Linked DNA regions of Saccharomyces cerevisiae S288C. Changing the gene in region 1 together with any one later gene gives a genetic interaction. Each region holds a gene or a part of one and is shown on either strand. Other genes may lie near its edges.

What was found.
Region 2: mutations in YLR036C (region 1) and GRH1 together harm fitness more than expected from each alone (negative genetic interaction), as found in Saccharomyces cerevisiae (one large-scale study listed by BioGRID).
Region 3: mutations in YLR036C (region 1) and PHO91 together harm fitness more than expected from each alone (negative genetic interaction), as found in Saccharomyces cerevisiae (one large-scale study listed by BioGRID).
Region 4: mutations in YLR036C (region 1) and DML1 together harm fitness more than expected from each alone (negative genetic interaction), as found in Saccharomyces cerevisiae (one large-scale study listed by BioGRID).

The regions. Positions count from the first base shown.
Region 1 is NC_001144.5:220,988-223,888, forward strand, and holds YLR036C (uncharacterized protein), read right to left. Parts: upstream 1,146-2,901; coding exon 534-1,145; downstream 1-533. Other genes in the region: seripauperin PAU23, read right to left, coding at 1,698-2,072.
Region 2 is NC_001136.10:1,475,605-1,478,908, reverse strand, and holds GRH1 (Grh1p), read right to left. Parts: upstream 1,671-3,304; coding exon 552-1,670; downstream 1-551. Other genes in the region: protein disulfide isomerase EUG1, read right to left, coding at 1-301; EMI2 (putative glucokinase), read left to right, coding at 2,433-3,304. UniProt on the Saccharomyces cerevisiae protein: Involved in the spindle assembly checkpoint. Involved in ER to Golgi vesicle-mediated transport by either facilitating USO1-dependent and -independent tethering or increasing target accuracy of fusion events of COPII-coated vesicles.
Region 3 is NC_001146.8:648,457-653,458, forward strand, and holds PHO91 (Pho91p), read right to left. Parts: upstream 3,257-5,002; coding exon 572-3,256; downstream 1-571. Other genes in the region: uridine kinase URK1, read left to right, coding at 1-481; YNR014W (uncharacterized protein), read left to right, coding at 4,009-4,647; SMM1 (tRNA-dihydrouridine(20) synthase (NAD(+))), read left to right, coding at 4,931-5,002. UniProt on the Saccharomyces cerevisiae protein: Vacuolar phosphate transporter that probably exports phosphate from the vacuolar lumen to the cytosol.
Region 4 is NC_001145.3:687,528-691,057, reverse strand, and holds DML1 (Dml1p), read right to left. Parts: upstream 1,976-3,530; coding exon 548-1,975; downstream 1-547. Other genes in the region: EFR3 (Efr3p), read left to right, coding at 1-363; MGL2 (putative carboxylic ester hydrolase), read right to left, coding at 2,193-3,530.

The DNA.
Region 1 (2,901 bases):
TGGATTTTTATTCCAACACTTTCATACGTAACGGGGGTAATATTACTAGCTGTTAGAATAAGAGTCAACGATCATAATTGACTAGTAACGCAAATACTACTAAACAGATGATGTTTTAGAGTTTCATTCTAACAAATTGATAATGTAGTAGAATAATGAATGACAAAGTATAAAAGAAAGGAAGACAAAGTGATTTTATTATCAGAACTATCAACTCCCTTTCGTGAATTCCAAGACTGTTGAGGAGAACTTCTAGTATATTTTGTATACCTAATATCAACAACGAAATCCCAACAATTAATACGAAGTTCACCCATTTTCTGATAATTGTTACGTGCAAATAATAGAACTACTTTTGTCGAGGTGTAATCTCGTATTCAAACTATATAGTAAATTATTCTCAATGGTCGAGTAATGCAAGAAGATGATATTGAATACTTTGCGTAACTTTACCAATTATCCAATATGCAACAGTAAAATGATACCTTCACATTTCAAGCTAATTCCAAAATAATACATATTAGGTAAAATCCTCAATTTAATTGCCCGGTTTTACCTTCAGACATCGCTCCCTTTCCATTGACACATCTATACCCTTCAATGAACCCGCTATGTAATATCAACGCATCGTAAAAATAGAATAATAATGCAGTAGTACATATCCAGCCTAGCTGCAATCTAAATAGCTGTGATAGTCGGTGTAAATTAATAGTTTGGTCAGTTTTAAAAAAAAACCTAATTTTGGTACAAAAGTAGAAGCTGAAAGCAGTCATTGATACCAATAACAAATACTTTAGCTGAAACCATTTAGGATACTTTTTTCTGGCAGCACAGCTGGGACATACTACCTTCGAACATCTCTTTGGCTTTGTTTTATTTTCATTTTTAAAATGACCGTTCTTTCGATATAAAAAGAAAACTATAATAACGAGGGAAATTGTTACCGCCCCCAGAATCATATCTATGATCTTAATGATGATTGCTTTTGGGTACTTTTCAATCAAATTATCTACTGATGGCACCATAAAACAATTTATAAAATAAAGGCTACAAACGGCCTTTGTTAATTTTTCTATAATTAATAAGGAATTAGACTTTGGGATCTCATCTTGGCTTTCTGTCGCACTAAGTTCTGCCTCTTTCATTATTTCCTATACTTTGAAGGAGAAAGTAAACTTTAACGGCAAGTTCCTGTCTTAACTACCTTTTAGTTCTCGTGTGTTGTGAAGGGCCTTTGAGGAAAAACTCGAAAGTTTGTTCCGTACTTTTAAACTTTCAATTTTTTACCAAAAAGGCTATTTACCGCTTTATGGGAAGATCATGGCAAGTCAAATCCACGTTAAATGGAACAAGATTAACTTGCCACAGATCAAATGCTGAATTGAAGAGAAGTTTTAAGCATTAAGATTCTTAATATGATCATTAATATATCAGTACGTGTCTCAACTGGAATCGTATAAGGTTCTTGTAAGTACAAATTGTATGCAGAAATTTAAATGCGAGAACAAAACTTGAATCTCCCCCCGCATTTAAAAAATATCTTTTTGAACACAGTGCAACTGATTAAAAGTACCTGTAATACATATATATGTTTGTATACGTATGTATATCTAATTATTTCTTACCGTCAAATCATAATTATTTTTATCCGTTCGTAAAGCAATCCAGTGCTAAATACCAATTGTGAGGCCATCGGCTTAGTTTGGAACAGCAGTGTAGATACCGTCCTTGGATAGAGCGCTGGAGATAGCTGGTCTCAATCTGGTGGAGTACCATGGGACACCAGTGATGACTCTAGTGACTTGATCAGCGGGAATACCAGTCAACATAGTGGTGAAATCACCGTAGTTGAAAACAGCTTCAGCAATTTCAACTGGGTAAGTTTCAGTTGGATGAGCAGCTTGGAACATATAGTATTCAGCCAAATGAGCTCTGATATCTGAGACGTAGACACCTAATTCGACCAGGTTAACTCTTTCGTCAGAGGGAGATAAAGTAGTGGTGGCTGGGGCAGCAGCGACACCAGCAGCAATAGCAGCGACACCAGCAACAATTGAAGTTAGTTTGACCATTTTTTTCGATTGAACTTTTGTAGATCTTTTTAGTGAAGATGTGAGCTCACTCGAATGTAAATAACAATGCCAAATTGTCGGAAAGAGTTAATCAAAGCTGCTCTATTTATATGCCGTTTTTTAATAAGCGACGGACGAACAGATAAATTGTTGAATAGCTATTTCACTGCTGATATTTCTCTTACTTGGGCTCCCCTATCCCATACTCTTCACCACTACAAATATGCAGTTGCCCTTTCTTCAACAATGCTTTTTTTATAGATCTCGTATACGGATCCGCGCCTTTGTACTACCTATATCTTATTATGATATATACAGGAGCACAGGAATGTTCGGTACAGGGATGATACCTTTAAAGGAAGTTTTGGCATGCCTTGACAACTTCAATTAATCTTTGGCCAAGAAAATGAACCAGAAATCAAATTTTATTCTGTGCCCTCTGAACGAGGGCAATATCCAATGTTTGACACTAAACGGTTGTCAGGAGAAAAATTGAATGTTTCCCAAATCAGAAACATTAAAATCCCTCTATATGATCAGAGGAGTCGTACCTGTTAGGGTATGAGCGAGGAAACGTGATTGAGAGTTATAAACTGACCATACGAAGAGTTACGGCCATTGATTGGGTTCATGACACCCAGGGAAGTTTCTTTTGGATTAAAATCACAAGTCTTGCAATTGCTGTATGTATTGCATGAGTGAAGTAGTTGGCATCTAATGGATACCCACTTAGGGAGTTTATGGATGAATCTTGTCTTCATAGGGTAGCTCGAGAGTGTTTTTTAATCTAGTGATATCCACTTAGCTAAGCGCGGCTGGAGATACAATA
Region 2 (3,304 bases), on another chromosome or scaffold:
GTTGCAGGCAAACCATACTGTTAGCCTCACAATCAATTTGAACAACTGGGACGTTATGCTCCTTTAAAATAGAGGCGGCCTCTTCTAAGTGAGGGCGTAAGATCTGAGAATGCAAACACCATGGAGCAAAAAACTCGACGAGGACTAACGGATGAGATTCGATGAATGATTTAAATTTCTTCTCTGTTAGAACGAGTAAATCTGATCCCGGCGTAGCTCTTGCGCTGTTTTCAGCCAACGTGAAAGAAGCAAACAGGCAAAACGAGACTATCGCAGATATAAATCTTGTGGTCACTTGCATGGTATTATATGAGCGGGTGCTTGTTGGGAGATTGCCATATAATTGAAACGTCAAGTCTTGGAAATTGAAACTTTCTGAATGCTAAAATATCTATTGTCTTAACAAAAAAGGACACGCGTGCCTTTGAAAAAAAGTCTCGGTACTTTTCGTACATTGCCAACTATCGTTTACGTGTTTTGAAGGGAAAGCAAGCTTATATATATATATTTAATTTTGCTATGAAACAAAACCAAAAGACTAACCAGGAAAGTTAATCAGAGGATGACTGTTTTTGTGGTGGTGGGGCGAGGATGTCAGATTCTGCTGACTTCGCAGCGGTAGATGACTTATCTCTGCCTTCATTAAAATAGTCATCCATTGCCAATGGCTGGGTACCCTTTTTATTTTTTGATTTCTTCTTTGTTGGCACCGGTGGTGCTGTGAATGCTGATGGCACAAAAGCCGTCTCAGATTCTACTGGAACAGGAACAGGAACAGGGTTGTCATCTTGCCCCTGCTGCTGTGCTTGTTGTGGACAGTGCTTTACTGTTGGAATCCTGTGAAGAAACCCGTATCCAACGTTGCAACCCAACCTGCCGTCGGGACCTATATGAACTGTGATTGGTCTCACACAGTCAGAAACTTTGTTGTAGACATAAAGGACCAGATCGTAGTTTGCTCTTGATCTAACAATATCTTGTAAAAGCGTCTCCCCTCCCGTGGCCAACAGGCCATCTTGGCAGCCGATAATGTAGTCTTCATCTGGGATGAGCCCTGCCGATTGGGCGGGTCCATCTGGGATGTTCACGTTCAGGATATGGTATGTGAAAGTGGAAGCTATCAAAGGCGTCCATTGGACTTTGAACCCGAGTGCTTGGAACTGGTGCGCTTCCCCACTAGATGGCCTCCTCTCGTCATGGTTTAGAGAAACATCGTCCAAATCGTCGCTCTCCTTCGATATAATGCTGATATACTCGTCTCTGAACGTGCCTCCTTTAGCTGACCATATGTTGACCTTCAAAGTTCGGCCACAGTGTTCATTGAAGATGGATGTGATACGACGGTAATCTGGGTACGAAAATCCGTGTTGATTACTGACCACCGGCACCGGATCATCATTGAAACCTACTATATAGTCGAAAAAGGACTGCAGTTGGAACTGCATCTCGTCCACCCAAACAATGCGGAGACCGGAAAGCGTTTCATTGACGTTGGTGTGCTTAACACCTTCAGAAACCGCATCTACGGGTGATTCCAACTGAGCAGACAACAAATTTGGTGGTATAGACTGAAAGAAAGCGTCCAGATTGCTCGAGTCCTGCGAGAGTGCCAGGGTATCTTGCACGCTCTGCTCAAAAGTCCGTACGAGGTTTTTAGCTATTCTAAACATAGTTCTTCTTCCTATACCTTTTTACTTCCCTAGTTTCGCACGCTGTGTCGGTCGCAGTTACAGTAGTAGTCTCAGCACCCCTGTTCTTGGTCCTGATCCCGTTGCGACAAGCCCATTTCTTTTATGATAGCCAAAATGCAACTAAACCTCGTCGTCGTCGGCTTGCGTGTCCGCCGCGAAGACAGAAAAATAACGAAACGAACTTAATAGAAACGACCTAGATTTTATTTGGAAGCCAGCCCGATGCTATCTTCAAAATGGCTGTCACTGGGTGCAAAGGCGGTGGGAGAGCCCATTAAGTAATTTAATCGGGTTGTCTCACCAATGTTAGCCACAACGCAACGCTACGTCGCCACTCTGGCAGCCACCGCAACGAGCAGTAGCAACTACTTTCGGGTGGGCCCTTCAGGGGTAGTTGCCTGCGTCTTTGTTCGAAGAATCAAGTGACAAAAAACGCGGGGCATCCAGAAAGTCTTTTTGTGTGTGTCGTCGAAAGGGAAAGTGAGAGAGTGAGAGTGAATTAGTGTTTGTGTGTGTGGAAGACAGAGGAAGAAGATCGGGTCGTCGAATTCTATTATGCTTGCGATGCAGGGGGGGGAAACATGTATTCGGGATTATATAAAGTCGATTCTGTGTAAGTGTAAAATCTCATCTTGTCTCGTGTTCTTTTGTACGTCTCATACTTATAGGAAGTTTAAATAGAAACAGATATCAGTGTATCAAGGAAGAATTGTACAAGAATCGAATCATAGATACACAGTAATGTCATTTGAAAATTTACATAAAGTCAATGCTGAGGCATTGGAAGATGCAGTGGTTGAGATCTGCTCCTCATTGCAGGTTGATGCAGCAAAGTTGGACGAACTAACAGCGTACTTCATTGAATGTATGGAAAAGGGGTTGAATAACACCTCTGTAGGCGAAGAAAAGACGGTGGACAAGGGTCTACCCATGATCCCTACATATGTAACCAGTTTGCCCAATGGGACGGAACGTGGTGTTTTGCTGGCTGCAGATTTAGGTGGGACTCACTTCAGAGTGTGTTCTGTGACTTTGAATGGTGACGGAACCTTTGATATGCAGCAATTGAAGTCTAAGATTCCGGAAGAATATCTAAATGACAAGGATGTCACCAGCGAGGAGCTGTTTAGCTACCTGGGTCGCCGTACAAGGGCCTTCGTTAGGAAGCATCATCCTGAGTTGTTGAAGTCCACGGGGGAGAACATAAAACCTTTGAAAATGGGATTTACCTTCTCATATCCCGTTGACCAAACCTCTTTGAGTTCCGGTACTTTAATCAGATGGACCAAAAGCTTCAAGATTGAAGACACGGTCGGCAAGGATGTCGTGAGGTTATACCAGGAGCAATTAGACATTCAGGGGCTCTCTATGATTAATGTGGTAGCTTTGACCAACGACACGGTTGGCACTTTCCTATCCCACTGCTACACTTCAGGCTCTCGTCCATCGAGTGCTGGTGAGATTAGCGAGCCTGTCATTGGTTGTATCTTTGGTACTGGTACTAACGGTTGCTATATGGAGGATATTGAAAACATCAAGAAGCTACCAGATGAGCTCAGAACAAGACTGCTGCATGAAGGAAAAACCCAAATGTGCATCAACATCGAATGGGG
Region 3 (5,002 bases), on another chromosome or scaffold:
TGGTGAGCATACCATGGAAAACGTTATTGCCTGTCAATTCGATCAAGTTACAGCTGTTAATATTATTCGATCTGGCGATTGTTTTATGAAGTCTTTGAGAAAGACGATCCCCAATATCACAATTGGTAAATTGTTGATTCAGTCCGATTCACAAACTGGGGAACCTCAACTGCATTGCGAATTTTTACCCCCAAATATAGAAAAGTTTGGCAAGGTTTTCTTAATGGAAGGTCAAATCATAAGTGGTGCGGCCATGATCATGGCCATCCAGGTGCTTTTAGATCATGGTATTGATTTGGAAAAGATTAGCGTGGTGGTTTATTTGGCCACTGAAGTTGGTATCCGACGTATATTAAATGCATTTGATAACAAAGTCAACATTTTTGCTGGTATGATCATCTCCAGAGAAAAGTTACAAAATCATCAATACAAATGGGCATTGACCAGATTTTTTGATTCAAAGTATTTTGGTTGTGATTGAGAATAATTAGAGGCAATATAAAGTAAAATTAAATAATAGTGCACGTATACATACTATATTAGTAACCTTTCATTCTCTCTATGGATAATCTTAAAATCCCATTACTTTCAATATGCCATAACCTACTGTAACAATAGCGGCATAACTTAACAAACTGGCTGGTACACCTCTCGTAATAAATGTACCCACGGTCAAATATCTATCACCAACTTCATCAATCATTGAAATGGCAGTCACGTTGGGGAAACCAGAGGTTGGAAGACCCATAGCACTAGAGCATAATAGGGCGGCTATAACGATCAATAGTCTAGAATGATCACCTGAAGGTAGATTGGAACCGATCTCACTCATTAATGGTACGATGATCATTGCCGCGACGGTATGGGAGACAAAAGTGGCCATTACAAGAATCACTAGACCGAAGATCAACACAATAATGAAGATTGGTTCATGCTCAACCTGCGCCTTAATTAACTGTGCCATTGTAGACAATAAACCGGATGAGCTTACCGCCTTACCTAGGGTGGTACCTCCCATGGCCAAAACAACGATTGTCCACATGAAATTATTGAAATCATCCGAAGTTAGAAGACCTGTACCGAAGAAGACTACTATAGGTATAATAGATATGATTCCCATTTCACCAAAGATACCGGAGATTTGGTTTGAAAGACACCAAAGAACAATTGTTATAATGCAAACTAAAGTGACAAACCATTGCTTCAGAGTGAATGGATCACGGGATGGATGCAATTGCAAAATTTTCACATTTGGCTCAGGAGGGAAGGTTATGATCAATAGCACCCAAATTGCCATGACACAAATAAAGCACACAGGTAGCGCAATCATAAACCATTCAGCCCAAGATGGTGAAGGGTCCATTATACCAATAGAAAAAATGTTTTGAGGAGAAGCGATGGGAGAAGACATACCACCGATATTGGAGGCAAGAGCGATACCAAGAATTAGAGCTTTGGCATAGGAACAATTTCTTGGCAGTGTTCTGAGCAAAGGTTGAACAATTGAATAGCAAAGAACGGGGGCAGCAACATTAGAAACCCACATGGAAACAAAGAGCGCCACAAACATATTTGTTAAAAGAATAAAATGTGGGTTTGTACCGGCGGATGCCAAAATATGCGTAGAAAGGACTTTGGCAATGTTGTACTTGGAAAGGGCGGCTGCTAAAGTAAACCCACCCAGCAAAAGCATGATGACACTCGACCACATCGTTGATAAGATGAACTGAGAGGAATCACGGGGAGACATTGGTTGGGAGGTGATAGGGTCCTTGATAACAGGGAACACTACAATAAGCAGAGGAATCATTAGAGAAGTCACGAAAAGGGGGATGGTCTCAGTGGCCCATAATAAAGATGCATATATTAAGATGGCGAAACAGTTTTTCTGTAAGGAATCCTGCGTAAAAGGAGTCAAATTAAAAGTTAATAATGCAATGAAACATGAGGTGATTAACAGAAACTTCAGCAGGGAAGTTTGGCCCATGATAAATTGCAACCATTGCTTGGGTGGTAAATGCATGAGTTCACGGAAAGTTAGGGAATCCGTTGATGGAGCGATGATACCGGCGCCACCACTCGACATTGCCATGGATTCAGTAATGTTGGCATTGGGGCGCAATTGACTGGAACTCAACTTTGAAAACTTCTTGTTGTCAGTCTTGGCAGATTGGTACTTTCTCTCCAAATTCATCATATCTTTCCAAACGGTGTTTCTTTCCCAAACTACGTGATCTCTCAAATGAGAGGATAATTCACGCTCAGCATCCTGGAAATCGAGGACTTCTTGTCTGTTGCCATCTTCGTCTTCTTCATTACCGCTGCTGTTTTCGTCATTGTTGATTCGGTCAGCGTCCAAGTTAAACGTATTAGATGGTCGACGCGTGCCCTTGTTCAAGCTAGCGTAAGTGAGGATGGTCTCGGTAATGTGATGCTGAATCCTATTTATTGTAGCAGGATTGAAAACATGCGAATGGAATTTGATATAGTTCAAGTAGTTCTGCTTCAAGTTCGTATTTAAGGACTTGTCAAATTTCTTGCAGATCTTGGAGAACCCGGTCTGGTTCAACTCAATAAAGTCCTTCAACTCGGACAACTGGGTGTAGATCGATATCAATCTTTTCTTTAAAGAGAGCCTATGTTGGGTAAAAGGAGAAAGATACACAGGGTTAGAGTTAGAAAGCGACACTGAAGCGGAGGCCAGGTTTTGCATTGAGTTACCATTATTAGTCGTGTTCGAGACCTGCGTGTGGATGACGGGTGCAGAGTCAATCGACATGTCTGTCAGAGAGGGGTTGGAGTCCGTGGAGGAGACACTACTAAACCTTCTTTGGCGTTGTTGTGACTTAGACTTCCTGTTTCTTGCAACACTTTGCAGTTGATGCTGTTGCTGCTGATTAAACAATTGGGTGGCCTTGTTCGTGTTTTCCAGTTCCATGACATCGTCCTTCAATTCGTTGTAGTTGGCGATAAGACCTGTTTCTTGAGATATGTAGAATTTATCAATTTTTTTCAATTCTTGGTTTAAGGCAGCAACAAATTTAGAGATGTAGAATTGATCATCTGGAGAAGCATCTGCCAATAGCGGCAGATTTTCATCGTTGGCGTCATGTGGCTCCACAACATGGTGCTTATTGTTACTGTACAGCTTATCTTTTTGCAAAGAATAGATCAATTTTTTCAGCTGCGAATAGGCCAGATACTTGGTAGACCATTCTGGTACAGAATTGAATTGTAAGGAATGCGAGAACTTCATGTCAGTCTGCAAGTTACCGTGTCACCTTCACAGTTTTCTTTTTATTTGACTAAGTAAAAAAAGAAAAGAAGTTATTTTTACTAAGATTTTGAGCGGCATTTTTCCTAGTTACTTATCAATTTTCATACATGCAAGACATACTCAATTTTTTTTTTTTTTTTTCAGTTTTAAAATTAGTCCTGATCAAAAAGCCATCACGTGGATCCCCGAAAAAAAACGGATCCGGGTAACCAGAAGTATTTTTTTCAAGGGAATAAAAGTTACCCTACCAAAATAAAAAAATTCAAGTAGGGTAATAAAGTTCCACCCCCCATCAGGATTATCGTTCTCTGACATCACCCACTCTCTGCTCGCTCTCTGCTCGCTCTCTGCTTTCTTTCCCCACGCCGGAGTGATTAAGGCGGATAGGCCCACCTGAACACCTCGCTCAGAACATCAGCGAGAGTTCCAGCCCCTCTACCCCTTACCTCTCGCCGCCCCTCATTTCGGATCAAAAGCAAAAGAACAAAGGGCCTTCGCAGAAACGGAAGGTTTCGACCCCTCGGTGCCGTTTTAATTTCTTTTTCTGGCCAGTTAAGCTTTTTGACTTTCTCGAATCAGCCCAGTGCAAAACAGTACGCATACGAGCACACAAATGTATATATATGTGTATGTATATATGTATATAGGTATGTGTGTGTACATCCGAAGCGTAAACTAATGATCTGCAAGTTTCAGATTTTTTCTCGAAAAATATAACTAATAAACGTTCCATGTCGTCCACGGATATCAAGCCTTGTGCCGTGAACATCCCTGTTTCCGCTCACATCACCTTCCACTACAAGTCGATCGCGGACAGAAGCAGCAGCAGGAGCAGCAGCAGCAGCTCCTGCTCCTCTGCTACATCTAAAGCCTGCTCCCCCAGAGGCAGCTCCGTCGGCTTACCGCCTGCTTTATCAACTGACAATGAAATCGTCGAGACTGTACTTAATGTTTCCGCTCCCGTTGTAGCAGACCCTACGCGGCCCTCATTGTTCAAGAGTAACTACACCGCAGCCTCGTGCTTGACTTCTGACCCAACCTCGCCGTCACTACTGCCCTCTTCTAGGCGCAACTCTGTATTGCCGGCAAGCGACTTCCACCAATGCGCGCATCACAAAAACTTTCAAAGAAGGGCCAGTGAGCCACAACTGCCCTCCTTCGATAATCGCTCGTCGTCCGAGATGAAAAGGTCCGTCTCGTACGCCCAGCATAGCATGATGTTCCCCATCAGTGACCAACAGGAGCCGCAAACATCCGCGTCTCCTAACGACCACTCAGACCCGTCTTGTCCTTGCAACAGACATCACCACAGAAGAAACTCGGTCGCCGTCAAGTTTGACAAACCATTGTATGAGAGACTAGAGACGTAGTTATCCATTCGTCCATCCATCTGTCTATCGTCACACAGCATTTCCCATCCCTCCTCTATACATACATACATATACAGTTCTGCGTGGTCTACGCAGCCATGTATATATATATTTCCGTCGTTTTATATATTCATTACTAAAATCGACAATGCATTTTTTGCCGCTTTCCATTTCCTCTACTTTGCTCATCACTTCGCTCGAAGAAAAAATGAAAACCGTCTTGAAAAACTTTTGCTATTTCATCCATCCAAGCCACACCAAATAGCGCAGTCACACAGAGATCATGGTTACATATGCTGGAAAACTGGTTCTAGCTCCAATGGTAAGAGCCGGCGAACTGCCCACGAGACTGATG
Region 4 (3,530 bases), on another chromosome or scaffold:
GAAAAGAATATTCCAAATAATATGAAAAGAGATGGCTCTTTTCGGGGTTCTCAATCAGTGAAATCTCGTGTCACTAATATCACATTTTTATTAAATGAATTGAAAACTTTTTCAGATGACGCGAATAAAATCAAAGATCCTGATGAGGAGAATATTGTTGGCTTGGATAAAATCGACGTTGCTAGATCAAATTCTCTGCGACTTGCACCAATATCTAGTCTTTCTGATCGCAGTAGCATTGGAAATAGAAAATCCTTTTTGCAAAAAACAGCAACTGGTGAAAATCAAAACGATGACTTTAAAGACGCAAATGAAGATTTACATTCTTTAAGTTCAAGAGGTAAAATTTTCTCCTCCACTTGAGAAATTAAGTTTTTGACGGACAGCTGTGGATGCTTTCAAGGGCAAGAGTGATATAGCATGACTTTCTAATTAATGTAATTTACGTAGATATAGATCAAATGGCGAAGTAAAAACTTCGAAAAAGATGGAAGAAGTCCTGTTTGCCTCAACTGGAGAAAGGAAATACGTAGCTGCAAACTGCTTATCACATATCGTCATCACCAGAATCTTCGTCTTCATACCACCCAGATTCGTACGCTGAGGCGTAATCGGAAAGTTCATTTTTCAATTCTTCTCTGTCACTATCATTTTTGAAGTACCTTACCACAAACTCATTCCAATGTTTGAATATATCTCGATTTTTTTCAGATGATTCTAATTCCAAAACAAATTCACGATCATTGGAAAATTCTGTCGGTATCGTATCAGATGGAAAATACCTGTGTGTATACATTTCAATCATCTTACTCCGTGAATCAGGTTCGGAATGATGTTTATGCGTTTGATTTCCTCTATCAATGAAACTTTTTGAAAATATGTGAGTAGAATTTGGTTTGTGGCTATTCTTGAAAGGAAGTACTCGAGAACAGAATGAGTAATCGGTGTCACCGATAACCATGCCAGTGACCATATTTCGCGACGAATATCCTAAGGTAATGGCAGTTGTTAGATAATCCATTGTCTTTCTTTGTTCAAGATTGCTTTGGGAAATTGTCGCATTTATAGAATCAAATATCCTACAGCTCTTTCCAGCAGTTTCCCAATTAGTTAGTCCAGGAGCAGCATACAATGGGAAGTAAAGATCGGATTCTTGCATCATATTTATTGTGCTTCTTAATTTGTTCGAAATGATCGGGAGCCATTTCTTTGAAAGTCTTTTCATAGGGAAGTCATCTGTGAATGGATCATCTTCATTGTGTCCCCATGAAAAGACCGCCTTTTTAGGTAATTCATTCCTTAATTCCACCAGTAGAGCACTAGAAAACCCGCCCCATCCACTCTCCATATCACTTACAAGATTGAAGCCTTGCAGGGTGTCACATTTTTCCAATTCTCTATGCAAATTTCCATCAAAAAACTCTTGCAAGTAATTTTCGGTAAATTCGTCATAACCAATGGAATACCTGTCAAACTTTCGCTCCCCCAAGTTTTGAAAGTCAGGTTGGTTTGGATTTTCAGTGTCATGGTACCAATTTCTCAAAATATTGAAACTTGAAGGACCATAGATAAGTTTAGAATAGTCAGACCAATACATCGTATTTTCTCTGTTCAAACAAGGCAGCGGTGCTCCTGCATCTAGAGAACTCTGATATTCGGATTTAGGTATTCTTGGATGAGTCTTTATAACTGTTTGCTCCTTGAATTTGTCTTCATTGCCGAAATGATAGTCTTGGCTTTCTGAATATTGATATGTTCCTAGTGAACCATTACCTGTACGGGCATCCCAAAGTAAGGCACGTGGTGCATATGAAATTGTTTTTGAAACTTTATCTACAACCGAATTCAGAAAAATTTTGGAGTCATTGACTTGTTGTTCTTTAGACAATTGTAAATAGCCCTCTTGTATATTGAAGAATTGAGTAGTCAAATGGTTTGCTCTCTGCGAAACCGATATCGTTACTACTTCATGCATTTTTTATTCTTGTCTGCCAATTATATATGTAATTTTAACAATTAACCCTCTTCTTCCAAGGTTTTAATTCATCGCATCGATTATATTTTGTTCCATTCGAAATTTTCCATTTTAAGTTTGGCGAAGCTTTTCACGTTTTCATTCAGAAATAATGATGTCGAACATCAAAAAAAAAAATTATCAGGTTACACATCTAAAAAGTTGACTTATTTACAAACTAATTCGCGCGAAAGGTTGTGGCTATGGGTTCGCAATTAGGATCTGGGAGTTGAACATTTTCCAAGTCAGGTTTTAAGCCCTTTACAGTAATTTCGTCGTGAAATATTTTCAAAAATCTGCATAAGGGTTCTGCGTACCACCTTCTGCCGGATCTGTCTTTGAACCATCCAACATGCCCCCCCGTCGAAGTTTCTAGAAGCAAAGTGTATGGATTGGATTTTATTTGGTCTATAGGAAGATCACCTCCGACAATTGGGTCATCCTGAGCATGCAAAGCTATAAAAGGAGTTCTGATCCCGGGTATTCTTTTATATGATGAAGCATTCTTGTAATACTCCTCTGCATTTTTATATCCAAACATTGGGCCTGTCAACAAGTTATCAAATTGCCTCACAGTGCGAATCTTTTTTAAATGCTTCTCGATAACATCTTTGAAATCAGGGTTTTCTTCCAGAGTAGAGAGATGGTTTCGAACCATGCGTAGTAAGTTGTGACCCAAAGCAGGTGAATAAAATCGTGACCCCATTGGTGTACTGTTAATAAAATATGCAGAGTTGTACAGGTCAAATGGATTACTCACGGAAATAGCACATTCGATTTTAGTACGATCTGACTCTTCTCCCAAGTAATTTGTCATTATAGATGCGCCTAACGAAAATCCCATCATATAAAACTTTCTATTCGGAAATCTTTTCCTCAAGTCATTAACACAATATCTTATATCATTGGTCCAACCACCGTTGTATAATAGCGGCGTTGTAATTGCAGAATAACAACATCCTCTAGCATTAAACACGCATGCTTCAAAGTCATACTTCGTGGTGATTTCATGAACAATTGCCCTCACGTAGCTTTCCCTCGAACCCCCTGTTAATCCATGGAGAATAATAAGCATAGGCTTAGCATCGTCTGAGTTCAATTTAGGATCATCAGGGGAATAGTACGAATATCTTCGTTTCAAGTTTCCGTTAAATACCGGTTGACTTGTCGGCACGTATTCTTTTTCCACTTTTCTTCTTTTGGTACTTCTACCATTTACAGCAAAATCCACAGTCCCTTCTCCCCCATGTGGGTATTTGATTATCATTCTTTTATATTGAACTTTGTATATATTGTCAAAGTGTCTAAAGGAACCATATGCAGTTTGTAAATGGCCATTGACCAGTAAACCATATAAAGTGTCAGTAGCACCGTCAGCTAATTCAGGAACTTTAGTATCTATTAGCTCAGGGATGGTGATCTCTTTATTTTCATTCTCTCGTTTATCGGTGGACTTGAATGCAATAGGATCCTCAGGGACCTCTTGATGAACAATCAAAAAATTAGGTAACAATTC